4 linked regions of the Arabidopsis thaliana genome follow. The protein of the gene in region 2 interacts with the protein of the main gene of each other region in a pairwise test. Each region holds a gene or a part of one and is shown on either strand. Other genes may lie near its edges.

The links.
Region 1: the proteins of AT2G25650 (region 2) and UBC4 interact in a two-hybrid assay, tested with the Arabidopsis thaliana proteins (one large-scale study listed by BioGRID).
Region 3: the proteins of AT2G25650 (region 2) and TRB3 interact in a two-hybrid assay, tested with the Arabidopsis thaliana proteins (one large-scale study listed by BioGRID).
Region 4: the proteins of AT2G25650 (region 2) and AT4G34400 interact in a two-hybrid assay, tested with the Arabidopsis thaliana proteins (one large-scale study listed by BioGRID).

What each region holds. Positions count from the first base shown.
Region 1 is NC_003076.8:16,537,020-16,542,976, forward strand, and holds UBC4 (ubiquitin conjugating enzyme 4), read right to left. Parts: upstream 3,171-5,957; 5' UTR 2,938-3,170; coding exon 2,894-2,937; intron 2,795-2,893; coding exon 2,715-2,794; exon of another isoform or gene 2,351-2,714; coding exon of another isoform or gene 2,332-2,350; coding exon 2,217-2,331; intron 2,131-2,216; coding exon 2,078-2,130; intron 1,981-2,077; coding exon 1,852-1,980; intron 1,420-1,851; coding exon 1,277-1,419; 3' UTR 1,044-1,276; downstream 1-1,043. Other genes in the region: AT5G41330 (BTB/POZ domain with WD40/YVTN repeat-like protein), read right to left, coding at 1-809; AT5G41350 (RING/U-box superfamily protein), read right to left, coding at 5,007-5,036, 5,186-5,295, 5,405-5,834.
Region 2 is NC_003071.7:10,912,113-10,917,688, forward strand, and holds AT2G25650 (DNA-binding storekeeper protein-related transcriptional regulator), read left to right. Parts: upstream 1-2,398; 5' UTR 2,399-2,652; coding exon 2,653-2,889; intron 2,890-2,970; coding exon 2,971-3,894; 3' UTR 3,895-4,104; downstream 4,105-5,576. Other genes in the region: AT2G25640 (SPOC domain / Transcription elongation factor S-II protein), read left to right, coding at 1-579, 813-933, 1,309-1,368, 1,596-1,796; emb2410 (embryo defective 2410), read right to left, coding at 4,344-4,490, 4,597-4,869, 4,961-5,152, 5,266-5,504. UniProt on the Arabidopsis thaliana protein: Probable transcription factor. May play redundant roles with GEBP and GPL2 in cytokinin responses by regulating the transcript levels of type-A ARR response genes. Involved in stress responses.
Region 3 is NC_003074.8:18,486,163-18,491,920, reverse strand, and holds TRB3 (telomere repeat binding factor 3), read right to left. Parts: upstream 2,929-5,758; 5' UTR 2,745-2,928; exon of another isoform or gene 2,559-2,744; 5' UTR 2,471-2,558; coding exon 2,321-2,470; intron 2,244-2,320; coding exon 2,029-2,243; intron 1,925-2,028; coding exon 1,840-1,924; intron 1,728-1,839; coding exon 1,644-1,727; intron 1,544-1,643; coding exon 1,190-1,543; 3' UTR 925-1,189; downstream 1-924. Other genes in the region: ARLA1B (ADP-ribosylation factor-like A1B), read left to right, coding at 77-198, 284-445, 543-660; WIH3 (cysteine-rich TM module stress tolerance protein), read right to left, coding at 3,956-4,001, 4,176-4,455, 4,534-4,582; AT3G49840 (transmembrane protein (DUF2215)), read right to left, coding at 5,234-5,472, 5,587-5,758.
Region 4 is NC_003075.7:16,442,936-16,449,255, reverse strand, and holds AT4G34400 (AP2/B3-like transcriptional factor family protein), read right to left. Parts: upstream 4,116-6,320; 5' UTR 4,057-4,115; intron 4,049-4,056; exon of another isoform or gene 3,941-4,048; 5' UTR 3,934-3,940; coding exon 3,847-3,933; intron 3,227-3,846; coding exon 2,854-3,226; intron 2,775-2,853; coding exon 2,628-2,774; intron 2,527-2,627; coding exon 2,308-2,526; intron 2,224-2,307; coding exon 2,200-2,223; intron 2,108-2,199; coding exon 2,016-2,107; intron 1,912-2,015; coding exon 1,660-1,911; 3' UTR 1,483-1,659; downstream 1-1,482. Other genes in the region: XLG2 (extra-large GTP-binding protein 2), read right to left, coding at 4,416-5,010, 5,119-5,282, 5,391-5,626, 5,740-5,887, 5,968-6,126, 6,209-6,313.

The sequences.
Region 1 (5,957 bases), on a different chromosome or scaffold from region 2:
ATCCATTTCAACTTAGTCGATGGAATCGCAGAATCAATATCAGCGCCATAGATCTCACAATGATCAATCTCAGACACAGGTAACAAGCTAGAAAGGTCATACACCATAATCGAATTCGAGTTCCTTCTACTAGATTCAAAGCTAGTGAACAAAAACTCATGAGAAGAACCTATGGCTTGAACCGTTGAGCTAGACCTAGTAACGTTTTCCCAATTCAGAGTCGTACGAACGAATCCGCCGTTATCGAGATCGATGATTTGCAAACCAGGGAAATCGGTAGCTCCGGCAGCTAAAACTCCCGGAGATATCTCTAGAAGCGAATCCACGGCGGAGAAATTAGTCAACACAGTCGACTTTTGCCTCAACGACCAATCAAACGAAGTGATTTTGCTACCGTGCGCCACGTGGAGACCTCCGCCGATTACAGTCGGTGAGATACTCGACGGAGAATCTCGACCGTTCAATTGAAGAATCCTAGATCTACGGAGATCGAACGGCTCGAACTGCGACGAATTCGAGAGAGAATCGATTAAGAAAGACTCGATTCCATAGTATCTAGATTCATCGATGAGATCACGAACATCGAAGGCGCGTGATCTAGCAGGTAGGTTTCCGGTACGGAGGATATAGAGAAGAACGGAGAACAAATCGGGATCACGATCGACGAAACGAGTTGTCTCAGTAGCGAGTTGAGATAGGAGAGAATCGGTTCCGGCTAGGCTTAAGGTTTGCTTCGTTGTTTGAAAGATTCGGCCTCCGACGTTGATGGAGACAACGTTCGATTCATGAGGGATCGTCGGAAAATTCATACGAGCAAATCAGAAGACGTTCTTCGCTTTTTTTTTTTTTTTTTTTGGCAGAGGATGATAAGACGGATAAACAGTGAAACTTCAGAGAAGAGGAACAGTTTTTACTTGTACAAGGCTAACACGGCCACTGAAGTGGATGAGATCATCAAATCAAAACGAACAATGCGTTTAGTAAATTTTGGCTATTGAGACGGATATGTACAATGCGTTTATAATCTAAACGATGCATATAGCCTTCAAGAAAAGAAATTACCGAATCAATAACCGGTATAAACCGGTAAGAGAGACTTATTTGAAATTGAAAAGACTAACAATTCGGTTCGGTCTAATAATGTACACAAACGTCCGGTCCGATAAATTAAACAGGTGAACAAAGCACAAAGGGAGAAATAGATTTCACAGTTGAGTTATAAGCAGAGATAATTCATGATCATATACAATAAAACAAGTCCCCTACCAAAGCTGGTTCAAGGATCTGGTTTGCCAGCAATTGCAACATCATCATCATCATCATCCTCATTATCTGAGCCGTATTCCTCTTCACTTAGTTCTTCATCGCTAGACTTATCTTCTGAACCTTCCCCTGGCTTTGCATACTTCTCACAGTATTCTGAAACCGCAAACCCAACAAAGCCGAGCAAAATAACCATCACACTTCCTCAAAATATCCCCAAAAACCGTAATATCCCCATAACATTATCAAGACCTTGTAAATGCCTAAGTCTTTAAAATGATCAGAAACTTTTATCTTCATCATGAGATTCTAATGAATAAATCACTTGCAGATCATTACATTAGCTCCAAGATTTACGAAAGTTCAGTTCACACATAAACCAAACAAAAGCTCTAATTCATTAAAACGAAAAATGACTGAGAGGAACTCTTAGTGTTAAGAATGGTAATCTCGAACGCACACATTAAGAACAGGTCCAAGCAAATATGTGTACCTCACATCAAGCAAATAAAAGAAAAAGAGAAAGAAACTAACAGATTTGTCAGAATCTTGATATATCTCTTAACATGAGAATCTGAGTCGACTTACCTTTAACTCGTTGCTCATAAGCAGGACGATCACGCATCATTAACGCAGCAGCTTCTCCATTCAATGGATCTGATGGGTTTGGATACAGAAGAAGCTGAGGAAGAAATGTCTCAAACACATTCACAAGGTCTGAAAAAAAGAAGAACCAAAAACATAAAGTTAAATCACAACAGCAATCATTTGATCCCAAATATTCAAAATAAACCACATTTGATATCGCCCTTACCGAACATAGGACTCCAAGTTTGGTTAATCACATCTAAACAAACAGAACCCGACCTGCATAAACAAAGGAGACCAAAGATGAAAAAGATTGAAATAAATTGATCCAAAACATCTAGTGGATTGAATTTAAAAAGACTTACAGTTCATCAACATTAGGATGATAAATTTTAGTAATGAAACCAACAGATGGAGATTTATAAGGATAAGCATCTGGAAGCTCAACTCTTATCTTCCACACACCTCCTTGATAGAGACCTATCACCAACACACACATTAAACCCACAAATAATAGTTTAACAACAGTTCTTCACAACTAACACCCGAGTATCCCAACCGAACTTCGCCGAAGCGCCTAACTAATCCCGTGGTGAGCAAACTCGCAAGCCCACCACGAGTAAGTAAACCACACACAGTGTGTAAACATGGTGGAATCGAACCGCCGTAGATCCGAATCCACCACAAATAACGGATTGCAATTTTGACACTAATATGAACAAAATCTAAGAAAACCAGGAAGAATTACAAATACCCTTATCATCATTTTCACAAGTAACAGAATCAAAATAGCACACTAGTGACTGATTTAGAGACAACAATCAACGAAACTGGGGATTATTCTCAGACAAGATCAATCTTACTGTCTTTGGGACCATTGAATTCAACATAGAATTCTTGCATGCCATCGTTGATCGTTTCCACTTTATAATCGCTCATCATCCTGCAATATAAAATCAAATCAAATCAATCATAGAAACAAAAAACTCAAATCAAAAGTAACAAATGAAACCGACAGAGAAAAAAATTAGAAAGTTATTACAGCTTCATCATATCCATTTCTCTGCGTTTGCTTGGCGAAGACATTTTTTTTCTCTGTCGGTTCGCTTATGTTTCTCTGATTTTCTGGGTTTTTTTTTTGGTTTTTGTTCTTCTTCCGGATTCGAGTGGAGATGAAGAAAAATGTGTGAGAGAAAAAGGAAAGATTTTCGTTTATTGATTTTTTATTTATATATTTTCACGTACATCGATGATGGGAGTGAACCACCGAAGGAGATCGTATCTCTAAATATATATCCTTTGTTAGAAATAAGAATCTCACTCCCTTCACTAGTAATAAATTTTGTGATTTTGTTTTGCTTTTTCAATTACTTTCTCCCTAAAAATTTTTAATTATTTTCTCCCAAAGTTAGATCATATTTTTGTTATTTCTTTTAAATCTATAAAGTTTTATAGTAATTATTATTAAATTTTAGAAAAGGTTTTTAATCACATAGTTAAACTATATTTATAGTCTAATAATAAATGACATTGAAACAATGAATCAATTGAACGTAAAATAAATATTTTTCGAACACGTAGATATTTTCGGAATATATTTTATAAAACTTGAATCTGTAAAGTATTTAGTTCAAAAAAATAATTTTTAAGAAATTTTTAAAAAACGTTTAATATACTATTTATGATGATTCATTAAAATCAGTAACTATTTGTATACCTCATTATTTATTAGTATAATCTATTTAACTAAGAATATTAAACTCTCATTATTACTTCCCTAATTTTTCCTCTTTTTTGTTTCTTTTTCTTTTGTATTTGAGATTGTAATGGCTTAAGATAACATATTTGAATAGTCAAATAGTAAATTTTCAGTCAAAATATTACTCGATATAAGTACCTAAAGTATCTCTAAGTATTAGTGTTTATAATTCTTAAGAATATGTTAATTAGTGTTTTTTACAGCAATTACTTTACTTGGTGTTATGTTTTGTATACAAATTAGTAACTAGAACCCTAAGAATATTTTTATACAAATTACTTTACTTGGTGATTTTTTTTGCACATTTTATTCGTTGTTCGCTTATGTTTATCTGATTTTATTATTTTTAAAGTTTTCAATTTTGTTAAATTTAATTTTTCATTTAAACCAATGGCGTGACAAAAAAACCTCTATTTTATACTGTTTTACACAGTAATGGTCACTCAAAACGCTTTTCTGGCGCGTTGAAGTTGTTGGTCGACAAAAATAGTTGGATGGTCATGCCCGATTACAGTCTAAAAACATGAATCTGTATAAGTATTTAACTAGAAAAAACAAATTAGACAGGAAATTTTTTAAAAAATAAAAATATTTGTCCAATATACCATTAGCATGATTCACTATAATTAGCAACTATTCATCTGTCACTTACTCACTTGTGACAAATATTATTTATTAAACAAAGCAATGACTAATATTGCATCTACATGTAACAATATCATTTACTAGATAAGTCTCATTTAATTTGACGTACTCATGTAAGTAAGATGTACGACAATACGACATCACATATTCAACTAATGAGACAACTAAACAAACCAAGTTTCGAAAATGTGAAGAACTAAGAAATCTAAAACATAAACACTACAAACTAGTAAGTATAAACAATTTTCATATTACATATCACAGAACAACATAAAGAAAATAAATAAGCACTAAACCAAACTAAAATCGAACCGTAATAAACCCAATCCATACATAACAAACTCTCAATTTCAGTTTGATTAATATTTTTCTTAAACTCAAGAAAAAACTGAATCAAACCCAAATTGAAACCCCAGCTTTAAAACACTCCTAAAATAACCTATAAACAAGAATTACCAAAATTAAAACATCTAGAAGAAAAATTATCAGTTTTGTCTCGTTTTTTATTCACAGAAGTGAATCTAAAGCACAAACTCTAATTCTTAATCTCCGTTTTTTTGTAGACGATTTGAAACGTCTGTACACAAACATATGTATATCAACACTGACATGTTTCGTAAATCCAACTTTGTGATCAGCTATTAGTGTATTCTTACCCATTTTTTCTTTTTAAGTTTTTCTCTTGTTCTCCAATTTCTTTCTTCTGATACAGAGAGAATTGAGCCTTCTAAGATGCGGCATTTGCGGGTTGCTAGTCAAGAGTAGAGTCAAATACCATTTCCTGCAGAACAAACGGATCCTCTCAGACATATCCCGGGAATTAAAATGAATTTGTAAACAAGCTAAATTGGAACTACTCATTATTTACGGTTTACTTAGAGATTAGAGTTTTTCGACATACACCAAAGAGAAGTGAATAAAAGAATGTACCTTGTTGCAGACGGGGCAGGTTTCACTTCTCTCCATCCATTCTAGAATGCATGCAAGGTGAAAATGGTGATCACATTTGGCTACAAGTTTCGGGTTCTCGATATCATATTCTGAATCAAAAGCACAGACAATATAATAAATAACCCATTCTCGCAGTCATGTAAGGTACGATTATGTTTATATGTTTTTGAGATGTGGGAAAGGCAAACAAGCTTTTACCTTCCAAACATATGGGACAATCCTCCTCTTCCTCTATTGGTATAAAAACAGCTTTTGATAGCTTCGGGTCTATTTCTTCAGTAGATTCAAGATCAATCTCTGTTTGGATTTTGCTATCTGTCTCTTTATGTGAGCATGTAGTTGGAACCCCGAGAGTAATACCATCAACTGTTTCTTGAGCAGACTCGGTATTAGCAGAGTCCACCGAAACCTCTCTTATATCAACACAAGTAGCCTCTTCACCACTAGCTGGTGTTTGAGGAATCCCTATAGGCACATCGAAAGGGGTAGGCAGTGGCGGTGGTATATAAGCATCAGGAGATGATGTCTCTAAGTTTGTGTCTACTACTACAACACCAGTAGAGATTGCAGAGGAAGTCCTGTTATGAGCGGAAGATAAAGGCACACGCTCTTCTGTTGCCCTTGGGTACTGCAAAATACAAGTCATAAAACAAGTTATATTCCCATATGAATCTCGAAGCCCGTTGGGGCTTTTAACTCATTTAGTGTCCTGAAGCACATCAAGATTGATTTATTTGCAGCCTATCAAAGC
Region 2 (5,576 bases):
AATGGATAGTGGTTCTGTAGAGGTCTCTGTTGGAATGAGTTCGATTAACTGGTCTCGAACAAAGAATTTTAAGAAGAAAACCCCTTCCATCACGAAAACTCTTGGAGTCAAGAATGAATTGAACAGCTCTAATGAGAGCACTGGGCCAATAAACGGAGTCACAATAGATGATGAGATGCAGGCTGCCACTGGATCTCTTCCTCCAATTGTCTCTCTTGATGAATTCATGTCATCCATAGATTCTGAATCTCCGTCTGGCTTTTTGTCTTCAGATACTGAGAAAAAACCTTCTGTTTCAGATAATAATGATGTAGAGGAGGTTTTAGTTTCATCACCCAAAGAAAGTGCTAATATTGATCTTTGTACATCACCAGTTAAGGCTGAGGCATTGTCACCACTTACGGCTAAGGCATCATCACCTGTTAACGCTGAGGATGCTGACATAGTATCGTCAAAGCCTAGTTCTGATTTGAAATCCAAAACTACATCTGTTTTCATACCTGATGGTGAACGTTTATGGGAAGGTGTGCTCCAGCTGAGTCCTTCTACTGTGAGCTCTGTCATCGGCATTCTAAGAAGGTTTGTAATAAATTGTTTCATGAGTGGTAGCAAACCTATCTCAGTATTTTTTTTTTATTCCACATTTCCAAATTTAGGTTTGCATATATGAATAGCTTTCTTTATTTAGTCTACATGTTACTACTTATCTATACTATTCTAGTGCTTATCAGCTCTATAAAATGTTTTTTTAATGAATATGGCTTCGCTGTTATTGATACCATGTTTACCAACCTGATTTTTACGCTTCACAGTGGCGAAAAGACTACTACAAAAGAGTGGCCTATTTTGCTCGAGATTAAGGGTAGAGTCAGATTAGATGCATTTGAGAAGTTTGTTCGAGAGCTCCCAAATTCCAGGAGTCGTGCTGTAATGGTATTTGTCTACACGTTTACCTCTATCATTAATGTACATGTTTTATATACGCATTCTGTGTTTGAGCCCCTGCAAAAGCTATTAACTGTGACGTTTAACCAAGCTTAAGTAGAAGCATTTAGGAAAGAAGAGGAGAGATTAACGGCCAATACTGATTTGTGAATGATTGAGAAAAATACATTACATCTGTGAATCACAATGGAGATAGATGGACTTACAAAAATATTTTCACCAGAACAATTGCATAGCTTATGTTTCTTGAATAGGCCTCCATATTCCAATAAAACTAAGACCTGTTTGTTCTCGATTCTATATGTATGTGATGAACTCGTTTATCCATCATGGTACTTCTGAAACCTTGCTTTCGTGTTACAGGTTATGTGTTTCGTCTGCAAAGAAGAGTGCTCAAAGACAGAACAAGAGAACATTTCCGAGGTATGAGCGTTGGTAGTTAACCAAGATTCTGTGTATCCAAATAAACGAAAAGATGATTAAAAAAACTTGAGATTTATTTGAATATTAATGATTTATTTGATCAAAACTGAACGCGAATCTGTACAAACTGAAAACCCAAACCGAATTTAAATTGAAACACTCCTAAATATCTGTAGAATGTCTAACTTGGTAACGAAATTTGGGCATTTGGTTTTGTTACTATACAGGTGGTGGATTCATACGCTAAAGATGGGAGGGTGGGTTATGCAGAACCAGCTTCAGGAGTTGAGCTATACCTATGCCCAACCCGTGGGAGAACTGTCGAGATTCTAAACAAGATTGTTCCGAGAAACCAACTCGATTTCTTGAAATCTATAAATGATGATGGTCTTATAGGTGTTGTTGTATGGAGAAGACACACAATTTAAAAAATCACCACTATCTAACAACTCTCACAAGAACCACCGTGAAAAGGGTTCTTCGTTAACCACATATAATACTTCTCGTTACAGTAACATGCTACAGGTCAACAATGACGATGGTGATGATGTGCCACCGGGGTTTGGCCCAATGACCATGGCTCGGGATGAAGATGATGACTTGCCTGAATTTAACTATTTTTCCAGTGGGGATGTTGTCGTGAACCGGACAAGCCGGTCTGTATCTGTAAGAGAGCTTATTCAAAAATATGGAAAATCTGAACCTTTGAGGAACCAAAGTTATAATGATAATGACAATGATATACTACCAGAGTGGCAGCCTCAATCTAACTGGACTCTTGGGGTTACTCATGTAAATGGTGGCTCGATGGTTAGACCATGTAGTGAGTGGTGGTCTCATCAGGATGGCAGAGGAGGATATTAATTGTTTTTTGTTTCACCTTAGCAATTTTGTGTTTGTTATGCATTTTCTGTTGCAGGCAACACTGCTTTCCAAATTTTGTGATTTTCTCTCAACAGTCACCGATATTTGGCACTTTATTAGTAAGATGGGCTTGCGCAGCCCGCTAATATATTGCTCCTTTCTGTAACAAAAAGTACAAAAGTAACAAAATCCACTCCTATCGATTATACTATAAAACAGAAGTGCAGAGAAAATTTCAGTCATGATATTTTTTGACCAGCTCGATTCAGAAATTTGGAAAGACTAGCTTTTTTTTCTCTCGGGTTTCACTTTTTAAAGGTCGTGAAAATTTGGGAATCACTGATCAATTTTGTTAATATGATTTCCTGATTTAGGGTTTCTCTGCATGCCTCTAGAATCAGCAAGTGTAAAGCAATTACCATGGTGACTCCGAAGCAGATCGATTTCTCTTCCTGTGGTGGTGGTGATAACTCCGACGATACCCTCTCCCATCGAGAATCTCCACGGAATCCTTCCTCAAAGCGTGCTGCTGCTTCCTTCGCAGCAGAAGCAGGCGAAGAGACTATGAAGAAGAAAAAGAAGAAGAAGAAGAAGAATTTGGGTCCGCCGTTGATCGTCCGGATCTGGAACGAGGAAGATGAGCTCTCTATCTTAAAGGTATTCTATTCATCTTCTCCGTTACACTTTGATTTGGTTTTGCATTCTGATTTTCTCAAAACCAGATTCGAAATTTCTCAGGGATTAGTTGATTACAGAGCTAAGACAGGATTCAATCCCAAAATTGATTGGGATGCGTTTTACAGTTTCCTCGGAAGTTCTATCGTTGCGAAATTCTCCAAGGAGCAGGTTTTGAGTAAGATCAGGAAGTTGAAAAGGAGATTTCATGTTCATTGGGAGAAAATCAGTGAAGGGAATGATCCGAAATTTACTAGGTCTAGTGATTCTGAAGCCTTTGGATTTTCTTCGATGATTTGGGGACAAGGTGAATTTGGTAATGATGATGGTATGGATAAGGAGATGGTGAAGGAGCACGATGTAAACGGAAATGGCGCAGCTGAAAATGGGACTGCTCGAATAGCACAGGAGAACGAGAGTGGGGAGGAGATGTTAAAGGAGCATGAGGAAACGTTAAATGAGAATGGTGCAGAGGAGATAAGAGACAACGACGAGACTGCTCGGAAAGCACAGCAGCTCGAGAGCGAGAGCGAGGAGGAGATGTTGAAGGAGCATGAGGAACCCTTTAATGAGAATGGTGCAGAGAATATAAGAGACAATAACGGGACTACTCAAATAGCACAGCAGAGCGAGAGCGAGAGTGAGGAGATGTTGAAGGAGCATGAGGAAGTGGCTAATACTGAACTTGTAAATGAGAATGGGGCAGCGAAAACAACAGAGAACGGGACTACTGGTGGAAAAGAGAGACATGATGACGATGATGATGATGAGTTATGCGCTGTGCAGGATGCATTTGAGGCTGTAATGTCGCAAGGTTTAAGTGGTTATCAAAAGAAGTTGCAGCTTGAGAAGCTGATGAACCTTGGAACTGGAAAAAGAAGAGAGTTGAGTGATGAATGGAAAGCGTTATGTGTTGAGGAAAGAAGATTGAATATCAAGAAGCTTAGATTTTCCGCCAAGCTTGCAGAGGCAGCTAATGATAGTTAGATGAAACCAATAAGCCGTTGTAGCATTTGGTGTTAATTAGGTTCTTAGTAAGCCATAAGCTTTAGTCTGTTCAGTGTATATCTTTGGATGTTGTCTTTGTTCTGTTTGGGCAAGTGTTTGTAAGACATTCCAGTTTTAACTGAAGTATCCAGAAGAGCCATCCATGTCCATTGTTGGATATAATAAATTTCATTACTTTCTTGTTGCACCAATCAGTCAATGAAGTGGCAAAACATTTTATATGCATTCCCTAACAAAAGGCATTTACAATGTAATTTTTACATTTTTAACCACTAAAAGGCCAGAAGAAGTGCACAAAGAAAGACTGACCAAATAATAAAATAATTTTTCTTGTCGGTAGTCACCAAAACCATGCTATTCCAAAATGCACTTCCTTTGCAACAAACGGCTTATATCCATATGAATCCGACAGAGGAAGACAAAAGGATTTAGTCTTGTGATGTAGCAGAGTATTCAAAAAGCAAACGTTTGGAAGGTGCAGATTGCAGAAGGACACGCAAGCGGCTCGTGAGCTGGTAAATAAGTGTCCATTGCATTGCCATCTCAGAATCTTTCATCTGTCTTACCACAGAGGCCTGTAGATAAAAGACAGCAAGAACCGTGGAGTGCTTATTTTGGTTAGGTTTTGAAAAAAATGAGGCCATATGGAGAAGAAAGAAGATTTCAATGTTTATGCCTGACCTGAAGACGTTTTCCGAGCTGCACTTCAACTTCCGTTCCAAATGATATGTTGCTCGCCAGAGACTTGAGAGGATCCACAGTTGGATCAACAGAGAGTAAACTTGGGATCTGCGGAGCATACACCAACCTCCATCTCGCCTGACCAAACTCTCCTTTTCCTTCTATCCTTGGCATTATGGTTCCAAGTGTTGCGGTTGCAAGTTTTTTGAAAGCAAGTTGTCCATCTCCTTCTAATATGGATTCTGCTAATTGGCTCTCAAACACCTTTGCAGCCTGCGAAAGGGAGATTATTAAACAGAGATTTCCATCAAGAAGAAAACACAACAATTTCCAAAATACAGCTACATTTTAACTTCAAATTTACCTCCGAAGGTGAGAGAGCATCCTGTTCAACAGAACGTGTTGAAGTCACGACAAGTTTGTCCTGCCAATTACTGGCACGACTTTGAACCCTAAATTGCCATTCTGAACCAACTAAGGCTAAATCTAGCAGAGGATCTAGTCCATGTTCAGGCTCAAACTTTGCAACGTTGAGATGCTCCCTCTTCAGACGTACCTGTGTTTAGAAAACAAAATAGATGTTGGTTACTCGAGGACATGTTGGCTTTGCAAGAATTATGGAATGAATGAGTTCACCACATAAAATCAAAACAGAGATTTAGGCAAAACCTGAGTAGCCACAAGATTGACATCTCCGTTTTCGAATGTTAGGACACCCTTTGGTTTGATAAATTTTGGATGAGCCATGCCATCAAGTTCAAGCTCACCACTAACAGCAAAATTAAGAATTAAAGGGTACATTATCCTCAGCTCTGGTCCTAAAACAAGTTTCATATCACTCAGACGGATATCCATATTTGGTTTCATTTTCACTTCTTCAATCTCCTTTTCAACAGAATTTGATTTACCTGTTGCAGGCAAAACAAACCGAGATCATTACAAAAGTGTTTACATACAAAGTCCAAATACTAAAATAGAAA
Region 3 (5,758 bases), on a different chromosome or scaffold from region 2:
AATACGGTTTTCGATCCAAAACCTGTTTTTTTTTTTTGGAACAACATGAAGAGATTCGTCTTTGTGGGTTTATCAGGTCGGGTTTAACATGAGGAAAGTGACAAAAGAAAATGTTGCAATCAGACTATGGGATCTTGGTGGTCAACCAAGATTCCGCTGCATGTGGGAACGTTACTGTCGCGCTGTTTCTATGATTGTGTAAGGATCTTAGAGGCAGGTTTCTCTGTTATCTTTATTGCTTGGCTTATTCACAACTTGGTTTCATGTTGATTCCAATTTCTAGGTACGTAGTTGATGCTGCAGATACTGAAAACTTGAGTGTCTCGAGAAGTGAACTCCATGATTTGTTGAGCAATGCTTCGCTTATTGGTATTCCTCTTTTGGTTCTTGGGAACAAGATTGACATACATGGAGCTCTTTCCAAAGAAGCCTTGACAGAAGAAATGTATAGCTCTTTATTCATCTGAACACTCCAAAAACAGCACTAAAGGCATCTCATTTAGCTCGATCTGATTATGCTTCTTGCCTTGTTTTTGTTGCAGGGGGCTTAGTTCGGTTACAAGTAGAGAAGTCTGCTGTCTCATGATATCCTGCAAGAACCCTACCACCATTGATCAGCTCACTGATTGGCTTGTAAATCACTCAAAATCAAAGAACTAAACTTCAACAAGAACATCATATGTTCTCTCTTCTTGATCTTCTTACTCGTCCTCTGTTGTCTGGTTAATGATGATGATGAGTCTTGAACTAATTTCGCGTGAAACAAGAGTTTGTCTTTATTTGTCTTCTGTCTCACCTGCTGGTCTGGTCTGGTCTAGTTTGCTCAAGAGGTTGTTTTCTATTCTTAAGGCTTTGCAACAAAAACATAAGTGTCTCAATTTTTCAACTTCTAAAAATCCAAGGAAACGGAAATAAGCTCTGTATACAAATCAAAGGCCTTATTTATATCTTTTCAAACCAGTTTCAAAATGGTTCACGAGAAACCTGTGAAGTTACTAACAAAACCAGATCAACAGAAGCAAGAGAAGGAACAGGTTTTACATAATCATCTGAGTTAGAAGACACTGTTACTGACTAAAAACACTGCGGCGATTGTAAAATGTTGATTTCGATGCAAGATCGAAACTTGACATAACATGAAGAATTGAAGATATATCAACCGATACAACATCAATGATTTTCTTAATTCTTACCGAGTTTGGCTATGCATTCTATACTTCACAGCTTTCATCGCCGCTTTTGCAAAAATATGGGCAGCTTCAGCTTCGGCTTCTGCTTTATCTGCCTCTCTTGCTGCTTCTTCAGCTTCTGCCATTGCAAATTCTGCTTCTGCCACAGCTCTTGCAGCTGCTGCAGCAGCTTCTTTTTCTGTCATACCCATTATCATAACTTCTCCACCTACTTGGGATTTAGTAAGATTTTTGACGCCATTCTCCTCCGGTTTCGGAGTGTTTTCCTTGTTTCCTTCCAACAAGAGTTGAGGAGACCTTTGTCCTTCTCCTTCAGCCATATAATTCTGAGAAATCCTGTATTTGTGCTTTTTCTGAAAGGTGAGAACAAACGCAAGAAAACCATTGTTAAGTCAGTGCTAAATTTGTGACATTTGCAAGAGGAAATTTCGATCAAAGTATCTCTCTTTATACCTTAACTAATGTTCCAACATTTGTCAAATACTTCAGCCTTGAAGTCACAAGCCGTTTCATATCCGGTTGCATCTTGAAATTCTCCTGAAAATTTACAGCAACACTAAGACCTTGATGATTGTATATAGATGCAGTAAGCAATGCTTAACTATTTACAGACACAACGAATAAACACAGAAGGAAAACTTCATTGTACCTCTATATACATCAAGATCGACTTTCCGTCAGGACCAAATGGTCTCTTCAAGCTGGTAATAGCCTCCAATATAATCTTATCCACACTACAACAAACACATTAAAACAAGCCTATTATATTCCTCACTATTCCCATATTCCACATTCACAGCATCAAGAATTCATACAAATACAAGAAGAGAGACCAAACCTTGTAGAAGGTCTTGGAGGTTCACAAGAACCTGCAGGAGGAGATGGTGCATCAATCTGTTGTCCTCCTACATCACCATTAGCTAAAGACACAATGGTAATAGCTGTAGCGTTATCGTCTTGCCTACTACCCGACAAAGGAGTTCTTTTAAGAGCAAGCTTAGCCTTCTTCCTAGATCCCCATAAAGCTGTTACACTTATATTTCTCCATTTGTCCTGTAGACAACAACAATAGTATAAGTTTCGAACTTTTCTATAATCTCTCTTCACTTTAAAGTTGTTGATGTTTTTACCTTGAGATCCACATTAGAACGAGACTTCAGAATTGTGCTATACACAGGATCTGAGAGAATGGTACGCCATTTTCCAGTTCCATGTTTAAGTACTCCAGCTTTAAGAGCTGTTTCTTCTTCTGGTGTCCACTTCAGCTTTGGAGCTCCCATTCACACAATTTTATCACAAAATTCAAAAATTCTATAGAAACACACACACACACACAACAAACACTTCTAATGTCTCGACTTCAATTCTCTGTGAACAGATGAAAACATCACAAAGATCAATACTTTATAATGAAATCCCCAAGTTTTTCAATTGCATTAGTAATTCAATAGAAACGCCAGAGATTACGAAGACACGCACGAGAAAAAGATTAAAGCTTTCGATCAGGGAAATGGGGAAATTAACAAGGAGAAGAAGAGGAAGAAGAAGACATGCCTGAGAAAGCTGAAGGGAATGAGAGAGGAAGCTATGGAGAGTGTCATGGATCAAAGTTTGAAATCTAAAAATTGTGGCATGAGACAGAGGAAGAGAAGACACAAAAATTTGACCTTTAATCTTTCGATTCACCTACGCATGTTGGAGGATGAAGTATGTATCGATTTTGAGGTGCTTTACTGGGAGCCCTTTATTATCTTCATTTTTACAAATTCGTCTTAAACTTTATAATTGCAAAAATACACCCATTTGATCTATTAGGGATTAATTTATGAAATTAAATTAACAATGCGAGTAAAAGCAAAGTAGAAATTAGAGTAAACAAGAGATTCAAGAAAAATGATTTTTGAGAGTAAACTTGACAATTACAAGAGATTTTTTAGTAATATAATAAATTTAGGGTTTTCGAAAATAGAATTACGGATTTTTTGTTTGGTCATCGAGCTTCTTATTTTTCGGATGGGAATATGTCTAATATTCTTTACCGTATTATTTCTTAAGATTTGAGTGAATCTTTCCTTATCTTCATGGAGGTCGATGCCGAGCTCATCGACTTTTAGTTCTTGGACTGATTTCACAATTCAGTCATATCATTTTGGTGTATTTTTGGTTTGAACCGAGTTAATCGGTGGATACTAAACCACTCTCTTACATTAAATATAAGAAGTGAAGACTCAAGATTATATACGATTTAGTAGTATTTTTATAAAAATTTGTACATTGAATAGTTGATCAACCGAGGAATGGTGGATGTGACATATATGTTTGAGACGGAAAATGGAAATATATCGGACCGTAAGTATAAATTTATATAAGTTTGATGGTAATGCTAAGTTTTGATCACGTTGATACAGTCACTTCTTCTTACATTTTTGATGAGAAAGAGAACAAAATTGGGTTGCTTTCTTTTTTTGTGTTCCTCTAGTTGGAAAGAATGAATGGCTTTTATACAAAAGATAAAACACACATATACAAAAGATGGGTAACATACCCTGAATCAATCAATAGTCATGAAAGTAAACAAGACCTCAAGTCAAATTCGGATTCATTCATAAAATTAAAGAAAATTAAAGAAACAAACCCAAAACGTGGACACACATAACCAGAAGAAGAGATCTAAAATGTATATCAAACACGTCTTTTTAACATGTTTGACAAAATTGAATAGCATCCTCAAGACGGTCAACGGCAAATATCAGCTCATCTTCCGATCAAAAGCAAGCTTCCAAGAGAACGCAACAGCAGAGCATAGCCAAACTGTAATACAAAACAAATACACATTTTATAAGTACCAAACATATAGACTTTGAATATCCATATTACTCCATACCAAAATTTATGAATAATGAACCAAAAAAAGGTATATCATCAGCTTCAAGTATTCAAAACTATATGTTAATATAAAAAGAGAGAGATAATTGGTCAACGCACCATCCTTCCATGAAGCCTCCTGAATCCTTCTTATCTTTCTTATTTTTCGGTGGAGCCTGACCATAATGCGGTGGTGGAGGACCTTGATAAGGATATTGTGGTGGATGACCTTGAGGATATTGCGGTGGAGGATAGCCTTGTGCTGGATATCCTTGACCGTATCCTTGCTGCGGTGGAGGATAACCTGCTGGAGGATATCCCGCTTGAGGATATTGTGGTGGAGGATAACCTGCTGGTGGAGGATACCCTGCTGGTGGATATCCTTCCTTAGGAGGATACCCTGACAAAACAACAACATCGAAACTTAAGAAACAAGAAACAAAAATACCCTAAAAACTTGGAAAAAATTGGGAATTACCTTGAGGAGGAGGAGCACTAACGGGATGTTGTGGGTCTTGATAAGACATCTTCTTCTTCTTCTCTGTTATGCTCTTATCTGAGGGTTTATTTCTTTCTTTATAACGAACTCTTTGCTTCTTTTTCTTCGCTGTGAATGGAATAATAATAGGGTTAGTGACAATGATGATGGATAATAAAGGAGGTTTAGGAGACAAGAGACATGTTCTCTCCAAGGACTACTCTTAGATTTTAATGATTTTTAAATATAACTAAGAAAACTTACATGTGATATAGATGACCAACTCATATTTGTGGAACTGGAATCATTCAAATTAAATTGCTATTGAAATTTCAGCCGTTAAATAACAAAAAGATGACTTTATTTATTTCCTCCTTTATTATACCAACTATCATCGTCCATTCAAATAAAATACACTATAGTATTGAGTTTCACATCATTGATGACTACACACATGGAAACGTATGATCTTATTGGTCAATATCAATTTATGTCAAAGGTTACATTTTGTTGATTTAGAAGTTAATCTCTCAACTTTTTCGCCTTGCTCATTAGTTCTTTTCCAGAAGACTATATATAAGCAAGGCTTGTTGCTTTGTTCACAAGCAACCTACTACACTCTCCGACTGGTTCAGAAGTTCCCCTAGCTGCTTGCTTTTCAGAACCAGAGGAACCTTCTTCTGCGCTTAACAGTATCACCCTATTTACTTGACGATTCCTTTATCGGATTTACAGTGATTCTTTTAGCATTTTTCACCGCCCATTCGCCAAAACCAGGTGAAGAAACCAATTCCTTCAATGCATTTTCCGTGCTCTCTTTAGTGAATTTTTGCAACTCTTCCTTCGTTAGCTTCCTTCTCCCTTCTGGTGTTTTGTGGAATGAAGAAGGAAAGATATCTGACTCAGATAATGGTACTGTCCTCAACTTCTTGTTGGAACCTGCAAAAACCATTTACAGAAGAAAAACCGGTTCTTCAAGAACAACATTACGAGATAAAGGGACTAGTATAAAGAAATCAGACCACTAGAGACACAAAGAGAAAAAATCAAAACCTCTAGGAAGAGGAGAAGCAAACGAGGTAGCATGGATCAAGCCGGGGCTACAACTCTCAGTTTCATCATCTTGCTCATATATTCTTTGAGCTAACAGCTTTCTGCTAATACTCTTTAGAATCAATGAGATGAGAATTCCAGTTATCAACGCTCCTCCAGCAAGTAATGGATC
Region 4 (6,320 bases), on a different chromosome or scaffold from region 2:
AAAGTAATTAAAGATAATCCGTAAATAAATTTAGTAGCTATAAAATCAAAGTGGTTTAAAGAAGATAGTTGAAACCAGTTTGATTAACAAGCTATTTAGAGTCTAACGTTTCAACTAGTCAGCTTTCCAACAAACAAACAAAAAAAACTCTAATCAGAAATGAGTTATTCAAAGTGGTGTAAATATAAATTCAGGCTGGTAGGTTGGATTTCAAAGCGTTAGGTGACTTAACTTTCGTTAAATTGTCCTCATGTTTACTTCATCTATACAAACTCATTGAGTTAAAAAAACAAATGTTCGCCATGTGAAAATAAATAATAAATTAAGATATATATTTTTTTTTTGAACAAAAAATTAAGATATTTTATGTGCAAAATTTTAGTCTGTAAAAGCGTGCTCTGTAAAGATAGTGACACTGACATGCAATTTGCGAAAATTGATTATCTTCAGGAGAAAATGATTATTTTCGTGCAAAAAGTGGAGCATATCCAAAGAAAGAATTATGCTAAAGAAGAAATCAAAGTTATTCAAGAGAATAGGTTTTTAAAAAATAACGTCAAGAAAGGAGTAAGGACCCACAAAAATGGAAGTATGGCCAAAAATTCACGAAATAAATATCATTCCCTTATCGACATGGTAATGTAACTAGAAAATAACAAATGATCCAAATCAGAGTTTTCAAAAATAATAAAACTTTAGGGTTGGTTTAGTTGTATGTTTACTATGATAATGATTGTTACTATTTTTGGACTCGAAACAGAGTAGCTTGCTCTGTTTTGTAAAGATGAAAGCAAACATTCAATTAAAAAGAAGAGGTTTTCGAAAACGTGACGATAGGACCCACAAAACTGGAATTGAAAAAAAAACTTGTAGGCCAAAAAATTCACAAAAGAAATATCCAACGTCGACATGGTAAACTATAAAATAAATAATGATCCAAGTCAAAGTTTTCAAAATAATCAAACTTTATGTTGGTTAGTATATTTTACTCTGATAATGGAAGTTACTATTTTTGGACTAAAAACAGAGTAGCTACTCTGTTTTATATCACAAAATTCACAATTATTATGTCACAAAGCTTTCAAGGTCATTTCTCACTTCCTCTCACTAATTTGTTCTTTGTTTCTCCTCACTTCTGGTGAAGCAGCTTCCATTTAAGAGAAATCAACAAGCGATATCACGAGGATGAAGAAGGAAGGTACATATTTTATTTAGTTTTCCTCAAAGGTTATATATTTAGTGAATGAGTCCTCTGTTTCTTCTACTTTGATCTTTGTTACAGGAGATTCCGTGGAAACCAGTATACCTAGATTCTTCAGAATTTTCAAGAGAAAATCTTGCCAAAAACAGATTGTAGAAAGAAAAAGCTAAGACAAATATACAGTTTTCGACCTTTCTTTGATTTTTACTCTTTCAAGGATTTTTTTTTTTTTTTTTTTTTCAAGGATTTTTACTCTTTCAAGGGTTTAAGAGTTAAACTTTAGCTCAAAGATTAGATATTGTATTCAGAAATAGATTCATGAGAGAACAAGAGAGAAGGTCATACAATCTGAAGTAGACAATAATGAAACACATAAGTTTGCTTGATCACACAACAAGATGGAAATCAGAGAGATAATTAAGTAGCCAAATCTCTTCCTCTACTCATACTGCTAGCGTCTACAGATCCTTACCGCGGATGACATGGAGTTTGATTGCGTAAACGAAAGTTCCCTTGCGCAAGAGCTCACACAAAATGCGGTCTTCTTTCTTCAACTTGTTCCTCTTGCATATGCGCATCCATCTTTTGATACAAACACGCTGATCCTTCCATTTGGCTGTTTTAGCACTTAGTTTCCCGAACCTGTCGATGTAGTTAACATAGTCTCCAAACCTCAAGCAATAGTCTTTCACCAGTTGTGCATGAACCAACTGTAAAAAAGATACGTACACAAAGCAGACAAGAACGTTAATGAAAACAATCTTTAAGTTAAAAAGAGTAGTAGTATATGAGGACAAGAAGTTGCAGTTCTTACCAGCTCGTATAACCTATTCTTCACGTTTGTCTCGAAATGGATATTCTTAGGATCATCGAGGTATCTCTCAGGATTCTTGATCATGGGATCGACTGTAAGAATCTCAAGAGACAAAAGCATTAGCATCTCAAAAATCAATTACATAATGAAGTGATGGAACTAATTAAGACAACAATGTGATTACCTTTCTTCCTCTTCTTTGCCGCCTCTGGTTCCATAGACAAAGCAATGTTGCATTAAGATAAGCATGGAAGAAATGAAGTTAAAAGTGATGAAAGTAAATGTATTTTACCTTTCCTCTTCAGATTAGCAACCTTATTTGCAACCTTTGGTTTGACAAAAGAGGCAGTGGCTGTGTCTTCTTTATCAGGAGCATAAGAACTGTCCTCCTCACTGATGGAATTCTCTTCAATATCCAATTGACCAAACGTTTCAATGTAATCACTGTCACTGTCCTCCTCTTCGTCTTCCTCGTCATCAGAGGACTCCACAACTTGTTCTTTCTTCTTTCCTGAAAACATCTCAACAAAGAAGACATGATTGTCAATATATAAAACAATCACATAAAGAAACAATTCAAGTTATGCAATGAGCTAACGATGAGTTTAAAACCTTTCTTCTGGCTTTTTGGTATTGTTGGCTTGGCCACCTTGAATTCAGAATCAGTGTCTGTCTCTGTTTCTTCACTGCTTTCAGAATAAACACTATCCTCCTCCTCATCGTCATCAGAATCCTCCACAACTTCCACTTTTGACTTTCCTGCAAACAAAAATCTCAAAAGTCAAAACAAGCAAAATCACATAAAAGCAAGTGATGGGAAAAAAAGCTAACAATGAACCTTTGTCTCTGCCTTCCGGGACTGTATTCTTCATCTCAGATTTAGCACCAGTGTCTGTGTCTTCACTGCTCAGAGATATAACACTGTCTTCTTCTTCCTCTTCCAATTCAGTGACTTCGCTAATCTCTTTACATGCGTCGTAGCCGCGAAAGATACTGACCTCGAATATGTGAGCTCCATTATAGGCAAAGGTCAAAAAGTCTCCATCGTTAAGAGTATTATCCCGAACAAATTTGGGCCATCCTTGTGAAAAAAGCACTTCATCATCCTTTATCTCCGTCGCTACCTTCCAGGAGCATCCACCAGGTCCTCGGAGAATCACAGTCTTGGGGAAACGATGTGGAATGTGATCGTAGTAGGAAACTGGGATCACCTGCTCATTTCACAGAAAAATTGTTTAACTTATAAGCCAAACACTCAATAGATAAGTAAAGACACAAAAAAAACAAGATAACTTTAAGGTAAGTCGGAGAGAGTCATTAAAGAGGCTTTCCACACACAACAAGATTTGGTTTCAACCAAAAGCGTAGGGACAGTTAAAAGAGTCAACTTTCCAGAACCAGACAAAATCAAAGCATCCAGTCTCAAAATTTTATATCTTTCAGCATTTAGAAGCAGAACAAATGTTTCTATTCATCAACAGAAAAAGAAAACAAAATCTGAGCAAAACTACTTTATACTTTGATGAAATTTAGTTCCAGTAACCAAACATATCCAGTGTTAAGTCCATAAATTAAGCTGATTCATACAGAAAGTTTAAATCTTTAGTCAGAAAAAGGAAACCAAAGGGTAGGAATAAGAGCAAAACCCTAGAAACAGAAAAAGCAAAATCTATAGAGGAAGCTAAATGCAGATAAACACAGTGTTTGTTTCATAAAAACCATCAGACATAGTTCAAAGAAACCACTAGGCTAAGAGAATCTACCCAGTTCAAGAATCGTTTGCTCATGAACAGATAAACCTGAAAGAAGAAACCTCGAGAGAAAATCTTACCATGAACTCTGAGCTGAAATGGGAGACGAAAACAGTGAAGAAACGTGGAGGGAGCTGGAAATCATTGCTAGCCATTGAAGAGGCCATCTTGGATCTGTGTGTGAAGAGAGTGAGTGAGAGAGAACGAGTGAAAGAGAAAGAGAAAGAGAAAGAGAGAGAGAAGAGTAAAGAGAAAAAGTAAAGCTAAAATGTTGTATGAAGAGAGAGTACCTTACCTTGACGCTTGAGTCAAATCAACGTTTAAGTTTTTGCAGAGAAAGGAGGTACAATCCTCAGACCCTCGTATTCTGCGTGGCCATTTCAAATTATTTTCTTTTAAACGGTTTGATCTCCCAAACTGAACCGATAATTTATTGCTACTCCGGTCCAGTTCAACCTCAATAACCGTATAAGTAAATGTCTGTTAAACCGGGAAAATTCACTTTATTATTTCTCTATTTTTTTTCCCCTGAAAAATCAATCACATGAATGTATCTTCACACTACTACATATACAACAAACATACACACAGAGAGAGAAACAAACTTATGTAATTTCCACAAAGAAAGAAAGAATTTTAGGAAAAAATATCAAGAGGACGAGCTGGCCTCTATGCTAGTAGTAGACATCTCTTGGAACATGGAAGTTTCTTCAACATGCCACTTGAGAATCTCTCTCGCATACCTCAGTGCATTGTCCACAGTATCACTCTCCAAGCTCACTTGACAAACAAACAATTTTGGCTTAAAGCTCCTTCCACGCATATTTACGGGTTCCAAGATTGAGTCATAGAGTCTCTTGAACTTATATCCAATGTAATGGAAAGCACGCTGAGCCATTGGAGGGTTGTGTCTGCTCGTCTGGTTCTGGCTGATCAATGGGTTGAAGTCTTCAAACCACTCACAGGTTCTTAGAGGAACCTCTTCGATCTTTTCTTCTAGGAGATCAAATTTGGTTAGAACCAAAAGAAACCTTTTGTTAGCTAGGCTCGGGTGAGTCACCATGTTCTCGAAAAGCTGTTTGGTTGCAAGCATCTTGTTCACAATATTCCCCTCACCGTCTTCTATGTTTTCTGCATAGTCTGTTAGTGAGACACAAAATATCACCAAGTCAGCGTCTTCAAACATTTCCAGCAATTTCCAGTTTTCACCAAGGCTTCTCGGATTTAGCCGGATGAGTTGGTACCTAAAGAGAGAGAGAGAGAGAGAGAGAGAGAGAGAGAGAGAGAGAGGGTAAGTTCAACGGTTTTTCATATAGCCGGAATGCAACACAAGGAAAAAGAACAGAACTAACTTCATGTCTGTATCATGTTGATAATCGCTCTCAAGAGACTCTTCTTGAGAAGTTGATGGGAATGAGAAGTCCACACAAGAAAGTCCTTCCATAGAGGAGAGTCCTTCCGCTTGCAATATGTCCATATCAGAAGGATCGTATTCTGATCTCGAGATCTCAAGAATCTGAGAAGAAACAAATTTGGGTCAGTCATCTTTTTCCCCTTAAACAAAAGTGTTAAGGTCCTGAAAGAGCGTTTATATATGCAAGCAGGCAACTTGATGTAAACTTACTCTTTCAAGAAAATAAACGGCGTTCCTGGGAAGTGTATCGCGAAGTCTTTTGTAGGTGGCTTGAATAGCTGGTACTCTCCAGAGATCTGCAACGGTTTGAGCATTCTCACGGCTTGATGGTGGAAATATCTTCAGGTTTCCGTCTTCCTTTTCTTTCAAAACCCAATCTGAAAAATGTTTTAGTCTCGGGTTGATCGAGTTACCTGGTTTTGCACTGGTTTCATCTCCCACATTGCCTAAATCCCAAGAACTCGATCAGTCTTCCTCAATAATCAATTGTTAACTGATGTTTGTATTAGAATATGAATGCATTCTTATTCTAATAGTTTGTACAGTCAATAATAATTACCTGAAGACTGGTCATTGCTCATCTCTTTTTCAAATCTTTCATGTGCCTCAAGAACCATTGCCAGATAGGTATAGAGATTTGTTTGGATTATGAATTTGATTCTTTCACGGTCTTCTAAAGAGAATGAGACGTTGTAGAGAGACCTTGCCTGAAACAGAAGAAGTCAATTCCCGATTCTTTACTAGATGTGAAACATTCAAGTGGGAGGCATTAAGATGAATAGCTCACTTGTTTGTAAATTGTAGTGGCGCCACCTTTTTCGCTACCAATCAAAAGAAGCTTGTTAAGCATCTTCTGCTCATATAAGGGCACATCATATGGTTCTACTGCAGACGAAGCCGGAGGAACTGGCAGAGAGAACACAGCGCAAGCAATTTTTGCTCTCTTCTGTAAAAATAATATCCTTCGTTGTCTTTAGTTTTATATTTAATGTTGTGAACGAGAAAAGCTGGTGATCAGGAAACCATACCTTACTCCAGATGTTCCCGATGGGATGCTTTTGACCTTCTTCTCGGTAAGAACCATCTGAATCGACCCAAAAATGAGGTTTTCCTTCACATTGCACCCCCGCCCACTACATC